2 linked regions of the Drosophila melanogaster genome follow. The gene in region 1 interacts genetically with each later gene. Each region holds a gene or a part of one and is shown in the gene's direction. Other genes may lie near its edges.

Region 1 (7,275 bases):
ACTCCATGTTCACCGCACAGGTGAGCACTGCGTCATTGAGATCCATGGCGAAATTAACTTCACTTCAGTCAGTTTCCGATTAAATTAAATTAAATACAAAAGCCAAATCTTTTCCATGCGCTTGGTCGCCGATCGGCTTATCGATATCAGCGTAAAATTATCGATATCACATCGGATGGCGTGAACGCATCATGATCGTGCACAAGTATGTTATAAAGTAGCAAAGTTCCACTCCAGGATCAGCTGTGTTACAATTCCGTTACAATTTAAATTGCTACATTTAAGGATTACAAAACAAGTAGGCCAGGAAAAGTAATTTGCTATGCCTATAACTTTCAATTGCACACTAATTAAGAAATATCACCATGAATGTGGATCTGAGATTGATTGTGCGCCTGTTGCTGGCCATTCTATTGACTTCCTTGGTAACTACCATTTTAATGGGCAAGCAGATACACAGAAGACTCGTGAAGTCCATGGTCAAAACAACCGGCGAAAAGGATAGTTTGCCAGCAAGGCAGCTCCCAAAAAGGGAGATCAGCCCGAAGGTCGCAGATTTCCCACCACCACTAACACTGAACCAAACTGAACTGGACATCTTAAAGATCCAGCGAAACAATAGTTTCCGCCTGCCCCAGCAAGAAGCTATTAAGGAGTGGCAGGATGCGATTTTCTTTAAAGAGGATAGTAACCGCAGGGGATTGGGTGAGCAGGGAAGAGCAGTTCAGTTACCAAACGCTAAATTAAACCCCGATGATTTCCAAGACTTCTATGCCGAACTCTCCGATCGCATTCCCCTGAACAGATCCTTGCCGGATACCAGACCTATAAGGTTAGTTCCTATGAAGTTTAAAATACTATACAATTTAAAGACTAAGAACTTAGTTGCCGGAAACGGAAGTATCTGGAGAACCTACCCAATGTGACAGTGATAATAGCCTTTCACGATGAACACCTAAGCGTTTTGCTAAGATCTATAACGAGCATTATAAATCGATCTCCTGTTGAGTTACTCAAGCAGATTGTGCTCGTGGATGACGATAGTAATTTGCCGGAATTGGGACAACAACTGGAAGAGATTGTGGCTCAAAACTTTCCGAAAATTATTCACATACTAAGACTTCCAGAACGACGTGGTTCCATCAAAGCGAGAATGGAGGCAATCAGGGTGTCCAGCTGTCAAGTTTTGGTCTTTCTAGACTCCCACATCGAAGTCAACACCAATTGGGTAATATTTAAAAAGGAATCAATTAATGTGGATAAATCTAGATAATTTCCTACTTTATAGTTGCCTCCCTTGCTGGAACCTATAGTTATTAACCCACATATAGTCACCCGTCCCATTTTGGATGCCATCTCACGCAAGACATTTGCCTATGCCAAACAAAATACGATGACTCGCTCCGGTTTCAATTGGTGGCTTGAGTCTGAGAGCTTACCAATTTTTCCTGAGGATAAAAGTCCTGATTCCACACCCTACCGTACACCGGTTTTATCAGGAGCTATGGCGATTGACAGGAACTATTTCTTGAATCTGGGGGGATTTGATGAGCAGCTGGACACCTGGGAAGCCGAGAAGTTCGAGATAAGTTTTAAGGTCTGGATGTGTGGTGGAATGATGCTGTATGTACCTTGCGCCCGGGTGGGTCACATAGGTAAAAGACCCATGAAATCGATTAGTAGTCCAGGATACCACAATTTTCTGGCCAGGGTAAGTGGAAAAACAACTCAAAACATGGGGGGTGGCGTATACGTAATATATTGTTTAACCTATTAAGAATATTACAACATAATTTAATAAGAGGATCTCTCCCTAGAACTACAAGCGAGTAGCTGAAGTTTGGATGGATAATTACAAAAAGTATGTGTACGACAAGAATCCGAAGCTCTATAAGATGGCCAATGCTGGTCTGCTTTTCCAAAGGAAAACCAAGAGAAATGCTCTGGAGTGCAAGACCTTCGATTGGTACATGACCAAGGTGGCTCCGGATTTTCTTAAAAGGTACCTAGCATTGGATTCGCCTTTGGTTTTCTCCGGGGTCATTGAAAGTGTGGCATTTCCTGGATTCTGTGTGGACTCCCTGAATTGTAGACACACTAAGCCCGTGGTTTTAGCCCGGTGCACTGGGCATAATTCAATGCCCGGCGAGCATCAGAACTGGTCCTTAACGCAGGATCATGAGATTCAACTGACGAACAGCAAAGATGATTGCTTGGAAGCGCAGGGCCTACGCTCAAAGTCGGTGTGGCTCTTTCGTTGTCACAAAAATGGTGGGAATCAGTACTGGTACTACAATCACCGTCATCGGTGGATCCAACAGGGCCAAATATGGGTGTGGTGCCTGGAAGCCCAATTGGCTAGTGGTCATAAGGTTGGCAAGGTTCTGGCCAATAAAATCTGCGATAAAAACCAACTGGAACAGCAGTGGAAAGTTGGGCGAAATGCGCCATATGATCCACAAAGGGAGCCTCATTAATATGTATAGCACAGCAATTATTAAAATAAATATTTAAATACAATTTTAGATACGAATTTTGCCTTATATGAAAGTATGCCTTCAGATACAGATGGCGCTCACGCCAATCCCCAGCCCAGTTCAAAGAGTGCCTGTGCAGATGGCGCCACCATGACGCGCGCTCCGCTAATTTGAATTCGCATGCAGAGATATTTCGTATATTATTGTTCTTTTCGCCCGACTTTTTCTCAGGTGAGTGTGGGATCTGGGCCTGACCTTACACGTCACCGGGCAGCCGACTCGTCTGCCACTGATTGATAGTGGAGAAGCGTGTTTTTTGTGGCCAACTGAAAATGTGAAAACTTCTTCGCCGCCTTATCACTGAGTCGCGGTTTCCCAATTACACTAATGGCTGTGCTTTTTGCCAGGTGGCTGCTCCTCTGCTGCATCGGCATGCCAGCAGTCAGTATTTTGGACTTCCGCCGCCAAGACGTCCACATGGCCATAAAAAAGAGATATGTAAAGCGCCTGTTGCGCAAGGTGGTCCTCCTCTTGGTGGTCATCGTCACTGTGTCCTTGGTCACCACTTTGGTGGTCGAACGGCGAATGAAAAATGCGGCGGAGCTGACGGAACAACTCGATCCGAATGGAGATCCCATAACGCCCGTTTTTAGGGCTGCCAATATACATCCAACTCGGAAAGCGCCACGACCACCATTTCAGGATCGCAACTCCGTGGTAGATATTCCGAGAAGTGACAAACTCCAGGGATTCCGACTACCGGAACCGAAGGGAGAGCGCAAGGATTGGCACGACTATGCGGCCATGGAGGCGGATAGAAAGCGATCCGGTTTCGGTGAGCACGGAGTAGCCGTAAAGATCGAAAATCCCGATGAGAAGCAGTTGGAAAAGGAGCACTACGAGATGAACGGCTTTAATGGCCTCATATCGGATAGAATCTCCGTCAATCGATCTGTGCCAGACCTCAGACTCGAGGCGTAAGTACATTCCCCATAGCGTGTTATCAATAGTTAAAACACTTATCTTATCTTTACAGTTGCAAGACCCGGAAGTATCTGGCCAAGTTGCCCAATATCAGCGTGATTTTCATCTTCTTCAACGAGCACTTTAACACCCTGTTGAGATCGATATACAGTGTGATAAATCGCACTCCACCGGAATTACTTAAGCAAATTGTGCTCGTGGACGATGGCAGCGAGTGGGATGTTCTGAAGCAGCCTTTGGACGACTACGTCCAGCAGCACTTTCCACATCTGGTGACTATAGTGCGCAATCCGGAGAGACAAGGTCTAATTGGAGCCAGAATAGCTGGAGCCAAGGTGGCAGTGGGACAAGTGATGGTGTTCTTTGATTCTCACATAGAAGTCAACTACAATTGGGTAGGATTTTCTAGTAAGCAATATGTTTGGATACAGAAGAATACTCTATGTTGCTATATTTACAGCTGCCTCCCCTGATCGAACCCATTGCCATTAATCCCAAGATCTCCACCTGCCCCATGGTGGATACTATTTCGCATGAAGATTTCTCTTACTTTAGCGGAAATAAGGACGGAGCACGAGGTGGATTCGATTGGAAGATGCTGTACAAACAGCTTCCGGTTCTGCCCGAAGATGCGCTGGACAAGTCCATGCCGTACCGGAGTCCCGTGATGATGGGCGGTCTATTTGCCATCAACACGGACTTCTTTTGGGATCTGGGCGGATACGACGACCAGTTGGACATCTGGGGCGGTGAGCAGTACGAGCTGAGTTTCAAGATCTGGATGTGTGGCGGTATGCTGCTGGATGTTCCCTGCTCGAGGGTGGCACACATATTCCGGGGACCCATGAAGCCAAGGGGCAATCCAAGGGGACACAACTTTGTGGCCAAGGTGGGTGCTACTCTCTAACCAGTTCTACTTTTTTAATTCTAATTATATTTGGTTTTAAATCTCATTTAGAACCACAAGCGCGTGGCAGAGGTTTGGATGGATGAGTATAAGCAATATGTGTACAAACGCGATCCGAAGACCTATGACAACCTGGATGCCGGAGATCTGACCCGCCAGCGTGGAGTTCGAGAGCGACTCAAGTGCAAGAGTTTCCACTGGTTCATGACGGAGGTGGCGCCTGATTTCCTCGTCAAATTCCCGCCCGTGGAACCACCTAGCTACGCCGCCGGCATCATTCAGAACGTGGCCAACCCGGTCTATTGCCTGGACAACATGGGCAAGTCCACCGAGGAGGCGGTGGGTATGTTCAGCTGTGCGGACAATAGGACCCATCCGCAACCGAATCAGTTTTGGGAGCTCTCCATATTCCGAGACCTCCGGATGAAGGGCTTCGATTCAGTGTGCCTGGATGTGCACGAGGGACCGCCGAATGCCACCGTTTGGATGTGGAGCTGCCACAGTCAGGGTGGCAATCAGTTCTGGTACTATGACAGGCAAACCCAAAGGTTGGTTCACGGAGAGAACAACAAGCGCTGCCTGGAGGGATTTGTGGAGAACGGCATAGCCAAGGTGGTGGCCAATTCCTGCGAGAATGGCAACGATCGCCAGCGCTGGGAGTTCGGATTCGTGAACCACACTATGCTGGACACCTTCTACGATGGATTAAAGTAGACTTTCATCCACGAGCCACTAACAATTCGAGTAACCACAGGCCAGATGTCGATCGGTTCAGGTCGGGGACCGCGATCGTCACGGGTTTAGTTCATTGTTCGTTGTGAAGGTTTCTGAAAAAAAAAGTTCGCTAAGTAAATTCCATTTTTCCATTAATTCTTGCCCCATGCATTATTGATATATGGCAGCGGAAAGTGAAAGATCTGGACAGGCAGATCGCAATCGGAGCGAGGATTCTGTCCGATCGCGAGCCACAAACTCTGATCTTTATTTGCTGTACGTACACTATATTTAGGTATTAATGTTTCGAAGAGATCCTCGACTACTTGTAAAGTTAAGAGATCGTAACTATGTGAAATTAAACAATAATAAAAGTTACAAGTGTATTGTAGAATCAATAAATACCTTAAACATTTTCTTTTTATATAATATAGATGTAATCGATGTAGTGAGAGCATCTGTAGTACTTCTTCACTTCCGATTTGAATTTTCGACTGTCGCAAAACCTTATCAGCAGGGCTGTTGACCTTTCTACAAAAGGAGAAAGAGGAGTCGGTAAGAGGTAGCAGACACCAGATAGACTAGAGAAGTTCCCACCCCTCCGAGGTCTGAAGTCCGAGATCACCAAAAAAAAAAAAAAAACCAGACATATTGTTAAGCTGATGTAATTTAAGACGCAGTTGCGCGATTGTCCCAGGAGAGGACGAAGATCGAAGATCCCTGGATGAATGTGGATGGATGGCAGCAGGCAATGACTTAGCGTCAAGCTGTCTCGATCTTGGGCTGGCTTTATCCTTATCTATGCAGTTCATTATCTACCAAACGAAAGCACATGCTAATTTATAGACAACGTGATGTTGTTTTGCTCATTTCCTCCGCATTTTTTTTCTCGTCGCTTTTCATATTTTGTGCATAAACAAAGTCAAGTGATTTGATTTTTTGGCCAACGCGACGGCGACGCCGCTTCTCAATCGGATTCACCGAATGTGGGTCATCGACGTCAGCGGAGATGGGGGTCTTATTTGCTTCGGAAGATTCCCTTTGTTAGGGCAGTTCACTTGTTGATGGGCGTTTGGTAATAGATAACAAAAATGGTCAAGTAGTACTTGTATATCTGCGAGTTTTCTTGGAAACTTACTTACCACTGAATAAAATGTGATTTCCATCTTAAGTAGGATGGGTAGATAATAAGCTATATGATATTCACTCTATAAATAATTTGAATTGGTAAACCACAATACATAGTCCTAAATACCTTTATATTATATTGCAATAATACAGCACATTCATTGATTTGATTACCACGTGTATTTGGCAGAGTATATAAATATCATTGGACTTTTTTGTTTACGTTTCTCATGGTTTTCGCTCTAGCCGAAAAATATAAACAAGTCGATGTCGTCTAGCCCATTCACAACCATCTCAGACTCGTTTGGGAATAGAACCCACCGATGGTAATGACCCACCGTTCGTCCGTATGTTTCACGCAATTCGATGGTGCAATTTCATCAGCCTCCCCGAAAAAGATTTCATCCGAATTTCACTATATATGTACGTATGTATTACCTGTCCCCCGGCGGATGGGAAAAACACCCCTCGGCGCTTAGAGAACCGGCTAGGAATATCTCAAGACGCATTTTAACTTGGCTGCAACGCAGTAGGAAAACTGCCTGCCGTCTCTTTCCTCGCGGCTATAGGCCTGTCTCTCTCTCTTTGCGCAGGTACATCATATTGTATCTGATGAAAACGAAAGCAAAATCCGAACTGGTTTCTTCGAGGGTTGATAAGCCCTAATGGAGGTGGAAAATGCGGAGAAGAGCCGCTCTCTCACCCAAAAAATAAAATATATAAACATATCAGCCGGCACGTAGGGCGGTTTCTATGCTGTGGACTACGTGCTAGATGACACGGCAAAATTGTCCGTGTTTTTCGTGTTCTGGCTCCCTTGTTTACCGTTTACTACTTTGGGGGTCAGTTGGCACCCAGCTAACTCCCACCCCCATCTAGTGTAATTGATGGATTTGGGTCATGCTTTCCCCAATTCAAATATGCTCCTCGTCACATGGAAATCTACTTTCAAGGTCTGTCAAGCTTCCCCATTTAGCCATCATAAATATTAGCACGCTTAAGTATCGACCTTGTGCAGATTTCTAGGTGGGCGCCATCCCCTGTCCCACATCGAGATCATGATCG
Region 2 (10,087 bases), 3.2 Mb from region 1:
TCGAGCTGGGATTGGAGGCCAGCGAATCGGTGCGCCACACGGCCGTCTGCTTGGCATCGTGGTATATCTTGATCTTGTGTCGTTGCTGCGTTCGCATCTGAGCATCGAATGCGGTCGCTTCAGTAGCTGCAGCCGCAGCAGCAGTCGCATCAACGATCGGCGCAGCAGTCGCATCAGCTGTTTGTGCTAATTTCGTTCGCTCTGCCACAGCTGCTGTTGTTGTTGTTGCTGGTGTTTGACCCTCAGCTGTTGCACTTGTTTCCCCTACGCCAGCTGATGTCTTTGCTGCAGCAGCAGATGTTGTTGCAAGGTGCGTGGCAATTGTTGGCTCCGTTCCATTGCCTTCTGTTGTTGCTGCTGCTGCAGTTGTTGTTGTGATTGGGGTAGCTGTTGCTGCTGTTGTTGTTGTGTTTGGCTCTGCAATGTCGCGATTGTTGTGCAGCATTGTTGCAAAGCGTTTTCAGTTGCCGCTGTCGTTTTCAAGTTTGTCGCTTTTCAAGTTTGCAGAATATCTCGAACTCGTAGTTATTTTTCTTTTTTTTTTTGTTTTGGTTTTGTTTTGTTATGTTTTACATTTAAATACACTTTATTTACACACACCAACACGATTTGGTATCGTATTTTATTCGTATTTTTTTGTTACTTTTGTTGTTTGTGCTTCAAACGTGCGCTTCCCGTTTACATTTTCGAATGCTTTAATGTATTATTCTTTTTTATTTCAACACTACAAATTGAATATCAAAAGCAAATTAATTTCAAAGCGATTTGTATGCCGCTCGCCTACAAAGTAATGTTCGAATTTGTCAAACGCATCGAGTAATCAGCAGGGGCCAGTTTTACAAAACACAAAAAATTTTCCGCTCAAAAATTTCCGCCGTTTCGAACGCACAGTGGGCCCAGCCACAGTTGGTCCAAAACTGTACATCATTCTGTAATGTAATGAATGTAACTGCTTCACTTTTCTCACTTCTCACTTTTTTTATTTGATTTACAGTTAAGCCGTGTTTATTTTAACACAGTGTTATTTATTATCTGTAATATCAGTCTTTAACCCTTCCGACTAATTTCTTTTCACCCCACTGTGCAATGTTAACAAAAGAAAATGGAATATTAAGAAAAGAGACAAAAAGCGCAGAGCAAACGCACACTATCAAACACGAAGCAAGAGAGCAAAAGAGAATGGTATAAAAAACATTACCTAATTGTTATTGTTTTTGTTTGCGTTTGCATTGCCAGAGAAGCAAAAGAGAGAGCCAGAGGGAGAGGGAAAATCGAGAAAAGCCAGTCGCAGATTGTTTGCGATTGTTGTTTGTTATCGCTTTTCCCCTCTGCACTTTTCGCATTTTTGTTTACGTGCCTCTGCAAGTGTGGGTGTGTGTGCGGCTGTACTGCGTGCAAGTGTGAGTGTGTATTTTTGTGGGAATAACACGCGCCCTGTTGCATGCAAAACTCAAATTAAAAGGCAAATTGCAATTGGTAATTACACAGGCAGTCGAAAGGGACAAACAATTGCACGCTCTTACTGCTCACTTTTCCTCGAATTTTGTTTTAGAATAAATACACAAATTACGTCACGCATGTCGGAGGACTACTGAGTTGTTAATGTTTTTTGCGAAGTTTTTCTTTGATTTCCGTGTTTCTTTTGCTCTCCACTTTTATCAGTTTCGGTCAAGATATTTGTATTTGATTTTACGCACCAAGGCTTGGCGCACTTTGTTTCCACGCACCCAAATCTCTTCTTTTTTTTGTTATACAACTTTTGGCGAAGGATTACTCTTTGTGCAGCCAATCAGTTTATGTGGCGTTTTATAGGGCATTTAACAGAACCGCGCTCCATTCAGCATAGCGTGCAGCTATCGACCATTAGGCATCCGCGACCCAACAACAACCGATCACAAAGACGTTGAAAATGCGAAAGATAGAAATAGAAACTGAGTTGCGCATTTTCATGCTGTGTCCAACGGGCGGTGTTGCCAGACTGCCCGCACGCAGGTTTGTGATAAAGGACTGTTTATGCTAAGTTAGAATTCTTGAATTTCATGAAATTACGAATTACGATCGAAATACGTTAACACCAATAATTTCAAAACAAGCATATTCTGAAGCAAGACCGTTTTTCCAATAACTGGACATTGATTATTATAATTAATAAAAGTGATTGAATTAAAACTGAGCTAAAAATAATAGCCCTATTATAGTTTTAGTTCTTTAAAAATTTTTTGAATTGGCGACGTGTAAGCCATTTTAAACTCTGCCGACGATCTGGCAACCCCTCCACGTGTGCTCTTTTCACGCACCCTCTCGCTCACACTCCCTTAAATCGCAAGCAACATACAACATCAAAACAATAAGTTTCTGTACACATGCTCCCGGATTTTCACTTAAATTAGCATCTTAATTATAAACTGCACAAGTTATTGGTTTTAAGGCTACATTATCGGGCATATCACACAAAGTTATCCGCTGCTCTCTTAATCGCTCTCTGAATTCCACAATATGATGTCAGAGGAAACCTTTTTCCGTACACTTCGTAAGGTAATAATAAATTGGAATCCAATACGCCAGCTTTCACTGAGTACTTTGTTGGACACCGGCGACTTTTTTCTAAAAAGCTAGCCCAAATTTTGCGCGTTACATTTTCGGGTGAAGTGCATAAAGGAAAAAAAAAACAAACTTCAATTTTCAAGGTCACTGCTGAAGTTTTCCAGCCACACACACGCACATAGTCCTGTCGTTTGCCACCCACTGCAGCACTCAGAGCGTTCCGAAACCGAGCATTAGGATTATTCAAAGTGAAGAGGCTTACTTCGCACTCAAATTTAGTTACTGGGTTTACAAAATTTCCTCCGATGGAGCCGCGAAACTGGCGAAACAATTTACGAGCTCTGGCCAGTGTTACCAACTGCTCCAAGTTCTCTATATCTGAGTTATTTCGCACAACGCTATCTGGCGCGCATAGTATATGGCATTCGCACTGAGTCGAAAAAGATAGCAGATACTGTGAACTAGAATTCAGATAACTTAAACAGAATGTATTTAAAACATATAAATTTCAAAGGCCATTAAATACAGCAATAAGATTTGATAATAAATCATATCTGTGGAATAGTTGAAACAGACCCGAAATGCCCCTTTCCTATTTCGGTATTTTTCTGAGGCCACACAGCATTCCTTGGCGCACCCAGTACGGTCACACGAATGAAAAGCCAACTCAGCTGAAAGTGAACCCATTTTTATACACAAAAAATTAGTAGCTGCAGCGAAATAAGTTGATTTCACACGACCACTGCGCCCCGAAAACAATGCAAAATGCGGCTGACCAACGAGAAAGCAACAATGCAGCCCCAGCTGAGTGATTTGGCCCTGGTCCTGGGCCTGTTGATCTGCTGTCTTCCAACTTTGACGTGGGCTGCGACTCTCTCCGACAAGCGACTGTGCGCCGACCCGAAATGTGAACGTAAGTTGTAATCTATGGCCAGACAAGTCAGCCTTGGACCTCCGGCACAGCCATGTCTCTTAAAATTGCATAATTAATTTTGCGTTTGTCTGGTTTATGCTTGCAGAAATCATTTCGATGGGCATTGCCAAAATCACCTACGCCATTGGTGGTGAGGGGCTGATATCCTTCAAAATCAACTCCCCCATCCGCGTCCTGTCCAAGAGCGCCGGTTCCAATATGCAACTGTGGGGTGTGGACATCAATGGGCGGCGCGGCTATGCCAATAAGGACTTTATCATGGAAAAGAAGATCCTCGTCCGGGATAAGGATCTATTGTACGAGGTGCCAGTGGTGGGACCTGGTAGTCCAGTGCAGTCAGTGGAGACACCAGTTCAGAGCGTCGAGACGACAGTGCAGCCTGTTCTTAACGCCTCTGAGTCAACCGATGATCTGGCAACGACTACAACGTCACCACTTGAGATAGCCGTTGATTCAATAGTGGTTGAGCACGACAAGCTGCAGGATCAGCAGGTTCCTGATCCTACTGCGGCTTCCAAGGCCCAAGTGCAGGTTATAGAAGGAACTGAGCTTCCCCTGGAGGCCATTGCAGCTACAACGGAAGGTAGCATTGTTCCAGAGACGGCAGCAGACCCCCAAGAAGCAACAAATCTCGACTCGACAGTTGTTGATACGAAAGAGCCACAGGCATTAAATTCGGAGGCCATTAAATTGCAGGAAGAGCCAAAAGCACAGCAACCTGCCACAGAAGCTGAGAAACCTCCCCCACTGCCCCAGGCTATCAACGCTGAACTGGAAGACGCTGACGATTTCGATTACGGGGATGACGAGACAGATGACGACTCCCAACAAGGTAGTCAAGATAACGAATCGATCGTAGAGATAGCAAACGATAACAAATCAATTAACGAATCGATTGAACTGAAACCACTTTCGGTCGCGCAACTGAAGAAAACAGATAAAGTGGAGGATTCAAAGGATGAGACTAAAGAAAAGCATGCAGAAATGGAAGTCTCCAAGCAGGAAGATTCTTCCTTACCCACTGAGACCTTAAATGTGACGGCACTCGAAGAGCAAATTGATCAGAAGGAATTTCCGAAGCAGGTACTGGATGCAGCCGTGGAATTAAAGTCGTCAGATCCTCTGCCAGTTGAGGAGGTCACCGAAACTGTGGCTGAGCCACCACGAACGATTGTCGAAGATAAAATTAATGAAGAAATAGTTCCGGTTTCAGCTAAAATCCAAGCAAAGCCTGCAACAGTTAACCCTACCGAACCTATTGTTGCTCAATCTGATGCGGAAATAAAAGCGCCATCTGAGTCAGTAATCAGTTCAACCACTCCCGCTCCTGTCGTTGAAGAGGCACCACAGAAAGCAGATCCTGTTGGTCTGCCGCCCCTCTTTGAAAAGAAGAACTTTGAGAATCCCAATAATTATTACAAGCAATTGCAGGAGGAACAGGAAAAACAGAGACTAGTTGCAGAGGCGGAGGAGCAAAAGCGTTTACAAGAGGAAGCGGATCAGCAGAAGAGGTTGCAAGAGGAAGCTGCGCTGAATAAAAGGTTACTCGAAGAAGCCGAGCAACAGAAAAGGTTACAAGAGGAAGCGGAGCAGCAGAAGAGATTGCAAGAGGAAGCTGAGCTGAATAAAAGGTTACTCGAAGAAGCCGAGAAACAGAAAAGGTTACACGAAGAATCAGAGCAGCTGCAGCGCTCAAGTGAGGAAGCGGAGCCACAACTGAGCGTTCAGGAAGCCAACATGCAGCAGCTTAATGACTCTGTGGATTCGCAGTCCAACGAAATCGTTGATAACAACAATAGGCAGCAGCCAGAGCAATATCAGCAGCACCATCATCATACAGAAAGTGCCTTTAATCATCCATCGACTGCATCACATACAACTCCAACGCCTGACGCCGAATCACCGTACGCAGCAGTCCAGGAGGAGACCACAGAAGCATCCCAAACGGATAACCATCGTGAGGGAGTTGGTTACGTGGAGCCTGTAGCTCTGCCAGCGACGGCTAGCCCCGTGTCGGAAGTACCTATCAAGGAGGACGCCGCAGGCTTTGGTCTCTTTGCCACAATTGTCGACACCGTAAACAATTTTATCGGAAAGGATCCTCAGAGTGATCCAGCAGATAGCAGCGATGAATTGCATAGAATCCTCTATCCAGGAAGGCCTGAAGTGCCACCTTCTCAAAGGAAGGCGGAAGGTGATGCTTATTCATTTACTAAATCATTATTACCATACGATTCTTCAGAAATTAGAGAGAATATCCGGTCCGGTTTTGTTACATACTATACCTTTTTTTTTACATATTCCAGACTTTGCTCCTGCCGATGTGGATGGATATTGTGCCCGGTTTCAAGCCAAAGATGAGCACTGTCATCGCTCTATATCTCTTGATAATTTTGTTGAAGTAATGGCCGACAAGCTGGTTGACCACAGCCAACTTTTACTTTGCGTGGTTATCGCCGCGATTTCTTCCTTGTTCTTCATGTTTGCATACTACTGCTTCTGCAATAGTAGTCAGGAGGGAGCGCTTCTTTCGAAGCTGAACCATTTGGAGCGCAGTCTGTTGGCCTCCCACAAGGAGAACCTGATCATCAAACACGACCTGATGACTACGCGAACAAAGTTGGCCAGCATTGAGGACAATTCCTTCGGCTCAAACGACATGGTGGCCGATCTCAAGAAGCAACTTGAATCTGAGCTGTACGAGAAGGCTAAGCTGCAGGAACAGGTTGGCTCATTAGAAAGGGTAGGTCCATATTATTTAATCAAATAAACGCTTACAAGGATCTCTTTACAAGGATCTGGATAACGCGGCTGAGGCTGGCCTGGAGCTCAACAAGATGCTGTCCGAAGTCCTTAACGGTCAGAATGGCGATGAGGCTTTCATGAGCACCGTCGACGAACTGCAGCGACAGCTTAATGACCAAGAAAGTGAGGAACCGCCGTTGATTAATACTTATACTAATGTGACTTTTTGATGACTACTTATTTAACCATTTAGTATCCAAAGCAGTTTCCTGTTCAATGCAGATTCTAACTCCATAACTTTTGCAGAGATCATCATCGAAATCAACAACAGTCTGGCCGAGAAAAGTAGGGAGAACAGCGAACTGCAGTATACGTTTACGGAGGCCACGACTCGGCTCAACAGCGAGCTGAAGACGCTACAAGAGGACAACTACGAGTTGGAGATGGAGAAGTCTAAGCTGCAAACTCGTCTTCAGGAAATTCAGGCTGAAACGGAATCGGAATTGGCCAAGGCACTGGAAGCCAGAAATTACGAAATGCAAAAGCTGCAGAATCAGATTGTTGAGCTGACTGTCAAGTGGGAGCGCGAACATGGCGATCTGCAGACCAGTCTAGCAAAGATCGAAGCTCTCGAAGATTGCCTGAAGGCAGTCGGAAAGGATGCGATCCACAATGTCCAAGAGCTGATTACCTCGGCCAAGACACGCGGTGAACTCAACGCGGTCCATAAGAAGCTGGTCGAGTTGCAGTCGAAGGTGGAGCAAGAAGAGGCCCACAAGCAACGTCTGGAGAGTCAGCTGCAGCAGTCAAGTCAAGATGTGGAGCAGCTGAAGCAGGACTTCAACCAATCAGAGCGCGATAAGCTAGAAGCCCAGACGCGTCTTGAAGTCTTATCCGGCTACTTCAGGGAGAAGGAGAACGATCTTAAGAAGTAGTTTATCAAGAAACACATTTGAGGAAAGTCTTTATCTCTTAATTACCATTTCAGAGAACTTAGTCTGCAGGAGACCAAGTGGCTGCAGCACCAGGGAGAGAATGCCAGCACAGTTGAGACCCAGACGCTGATGAAGAACGAAATCCAAACTCTGAAGTAAGTCAAAATCGCGCATTATCGCTTTCAAGAAATGTTAAAATCCATTTCGCCTTAGATCTCAGAATGACGAGCTGCGTGCCGAGATCGAGGCCCAGATAGCCTCGCACAAAGCTCAGATGGGCACGCTGGAGAACCGAGCTCATGAGTCCTGGCTGGCAGCGCGCCAGTCGGAGCGCCGTTGCGAAGAAGCGTTGGCCGAAGCTGCCAGCCTGAGGCGTAAGCTGACCACAATGGCCAGCGGCGGAGGAGGAGTAGGCGGAGATCCAGGCGTAATGGAGGCCATCGCCGCCAACGGAACTTCCGTGCTGGGGGCGGAACTGAAAACGGCTCCATCGCCGCTTCCCTTGCCGGGTTCACCACTGCTGAACATGCCAAATCCACTGCCATTCCTGGCGGCACCCTTCTCACCGTTCATGGGTCTGCCGCCGCCATTCCTGCCTCCAACTGGAGCGGGAGGGGCACGTCCTCCGCCCCTGGGACGCATGCGCTCTCCGCCGCCCTCGAGTCGCGGCGATCGGGATCGAGAGCGTTACTCAGACTACAGCGACTACGATGACTACGACGACGATGAGGAGGACGACCGGGGCATGGACCGTCGTCGACGGCACAGCGGCAGCTGGGGTCGCCGGCATCGCGGCTCCTACAGCCACTCGCCGCGCACATATCGCTCGCTATCACCGTCGGACAGTCGGTACAACTACAATGACACGGAGACTGACTTCAGTCCGCCCCCAAGTCCGCCGCCCGTTCCGTCGGGACGCAGCGCGACATCGCGACCCTACAGCGAGGTATGAGGAGCAGGGTGTGCCCGTGCAACCAAGTCCTACCAAGTATATTAGACTCAAAACTAGTTCAAATATATTTATTAATCAACGATTATCGAACGGTGGGATCGGGGCGGGTCGGGACGACCTCTCAAACCGATTCCCCAAAACAGGGATCTCAGGAGAGTTCGTGAACAACTAAGAAAACTCCTGTCTCAGCGGTGAATGATATCCAAGAAAATTGAAACAAATTAAACGCAATGACAAACACAAATCCAATGTGAGCTGTTTTTACTGTGGAATTGAAAAATATTCATTTTCTCTGAACAAACATTTTTAAATAATCAGCATGGCACATTTTTAATATGATATTAATTTCTGAGAGGTAAGATTATGTATTATACATCATTTATTGAAAACTACAAATAATTGAATACACGAACTTAGAACCGGTTTATATTTTTATATTATATTTATATATTATTATCAGCAATCATTTTAATAACCAGCTTATCGACGAAAGACTTATCAATTAAATAGCACAATTTTGGTCCGTTTAGATAATAGTTAACTAAGCTAGTTAACTTAGTGAATCACGACTCGGGGCGTTTAAATTCCAATTCAATACATTCGTCAGGTAATTGTGAATAGCTGCTACTAGTAGCACTGAAGGAAACATTAAGTTTGGGATGTTTAAAGTGCTTCGAAACCTGCGAAAGAGTATGAGTTTTAGGATCAGTACTTTATAAATCAGTTATGTACGCACCAAGTCATCCTTGCCGGTTTTATAAAAATGCATTTTCAAAGGCTTCGTTCGCTGATTTAGAGCGCGGTTCATTGTTGACTTGCTGAAGGCAAAGAACTCGTCGTACAAAACATGGTTGATCATGCTGAATTCCCTGAGACGGGGACAGGCAAGAAGCACGTCCCATATACCATCGGCGTTGACCCATATACGCGAGTTCTCCAGATGCAGTTGCTCCAAGAGCGGAAAGCAATAGGTGATCGTGGAAAAGTCAATGGCAGCACATCCTTCATCATCGACGAGAGTTAAACATCGGAGATTTCGCAGTTTGGCCAGCACCTCCGTTGGCCTCATCCAGATATTATTACTGAATGCGGCAGTCAACACATCTTGACCCCTTATGCTTCCAATTTCGCACAGTAGATCGTCCACCTGGTAGAAGTTGTGCAGGCGCAGCTTTATCAGTTTAGGCAGGCTCAACAGTTGGCTGATGTTGTCCCTGTTTAGGTAAACTATGTCCAGCTCCAGCTCCTCCAGTTCATGCAGCATACAGATGGATCGCACGTATGCATTCTGTTCGATCTTTTGCCACTGGATACTGAGTGTCTGTAGTCGCAGGTTTTGACAGATATCCTCGAAGCCCTGCGGGCTCAGGTACCAGCACAGCTGAAGGTCCAGTCGGCGAATGTTCCGCCAACGACTGATGTGGTTACCAGTAGTCTTCCCGCTCAGCCTGATGGCTTCCAGCTGCGGGAAGCAGTCCACCAGAATGGCGATGTCGGCGTCTCCTTCTATTTCACTGGTCTCATCGCCCAAGTAGATCAATTGACGCATGTTGGGGAAGGTGTGACCCTTCCACCGCTCCAGGTGATCCATGGCTAGGTATTGGAGTGTAAGTTCCGTCACCGTGAAGCGAATGCACTGCAGGAATTCGTTCAGTAGCTCATAGTCGTCATTGAATGTATAATAGTCAATGGTATATTCCCGATTGCGCTGCCAGATGTAGGATATCAGCGATCTCAGTCGCGATGCGGGCTCGGAACTCTTCCACAGCTTCAGCTGATCCTCCAGATCGAGGTAATCTACAATTTTACTATTCAACGATTATGCCGATGCCTATCCATGAATTCCATTCAACTTCACTTACAGCACGCAGTCATCATTGAGGTTCTCAATGAGTGCCATGTTCACAATAGCAGCCTAATCCTCAGAAATGAAGGGTTTTCCAGATCGACGAGTTGCCTATAAAGTTGGATTGTTGC

The links. Genes that interact genetically often act in the same process or in processes that back each other up.
Region 2: of Pgant4 (region 1) and Tango1, changing one suppresses a phenotype caused by changing the other (phenotypic suppression), as found in Drosophila melanogaster (one study listed by BioGRID).

Annotation. Positions count from the first base shown.
Region 1 is NT_033779.5:3,469,849-3,477,123, forward strand, and holds Pgant4 (polypeptide N-Acetylgalactosaminyltransferase 4), read left to right. Parts: upstream 1-2,754; 5' UTR 2,755-2,954; coding exon 2,955-3,454; intron 3,455-3,513; coding exon 3,514-3,856; intron 3,857-3,921; coding exon 3,922-4,350; intron 4,351-4,419; coding exon 4,420-5,082; 3' UTR 5,083-5,490; downstream 5,491-7,275. Other genes in the region: Pif1 DNA helicase, read right to left, coding at 1-46; CG31776 (uncharacterized protein), read left to right, coding at 366-832, 886-1,228, 1,289-1,711, 1,818-2,477. UniProt on the Drosophila melanogaster protein: Glycopeptide transferase involved in O-linked oligosaccharide biosynthesis, which catalyzes the transfer of an N-acetyl-D-galactosamine residue to an already glycosylated peptide.
Region 2 is NT_033779.5:6,646,224-6,656,310, forward strand, and holds Tango1 (transport and golgi organization 1), read left to right. Parts: upstream 1-3,164; 5' UTR 3,165-3,309; coding exon 3,310-3,457; intron 3,458-3,563; coding exon 3,564-5,672; intron 5,673-5,784; coding exon 5,785-6,221; intron 6,222-6,273; coding exon 6,274-6,406; intron 6,407-6,529; coding exon 6,530-7,154; intron 7,155-7,211; coding exon 7,212-7,313; intron 7,314-7,371; coding exon 7,372-8,110; 3' UTR 8,111-8,351; downstream 8,352-10,087. Other genes in the region: CG31635 (uncharacterized protein), read right to left, coding at 1-445; CG31633 (uncharacterized protein), read right to left, coding at 8,674-8,790, 8,847-9,918, 9,973-10,010. UniProt on the Drosophila melanogaster protein: Required for protein secretion. May participate in cargo loading by binding to COPII coat subunits and guiding SH3-bound proteins into a growing carrier.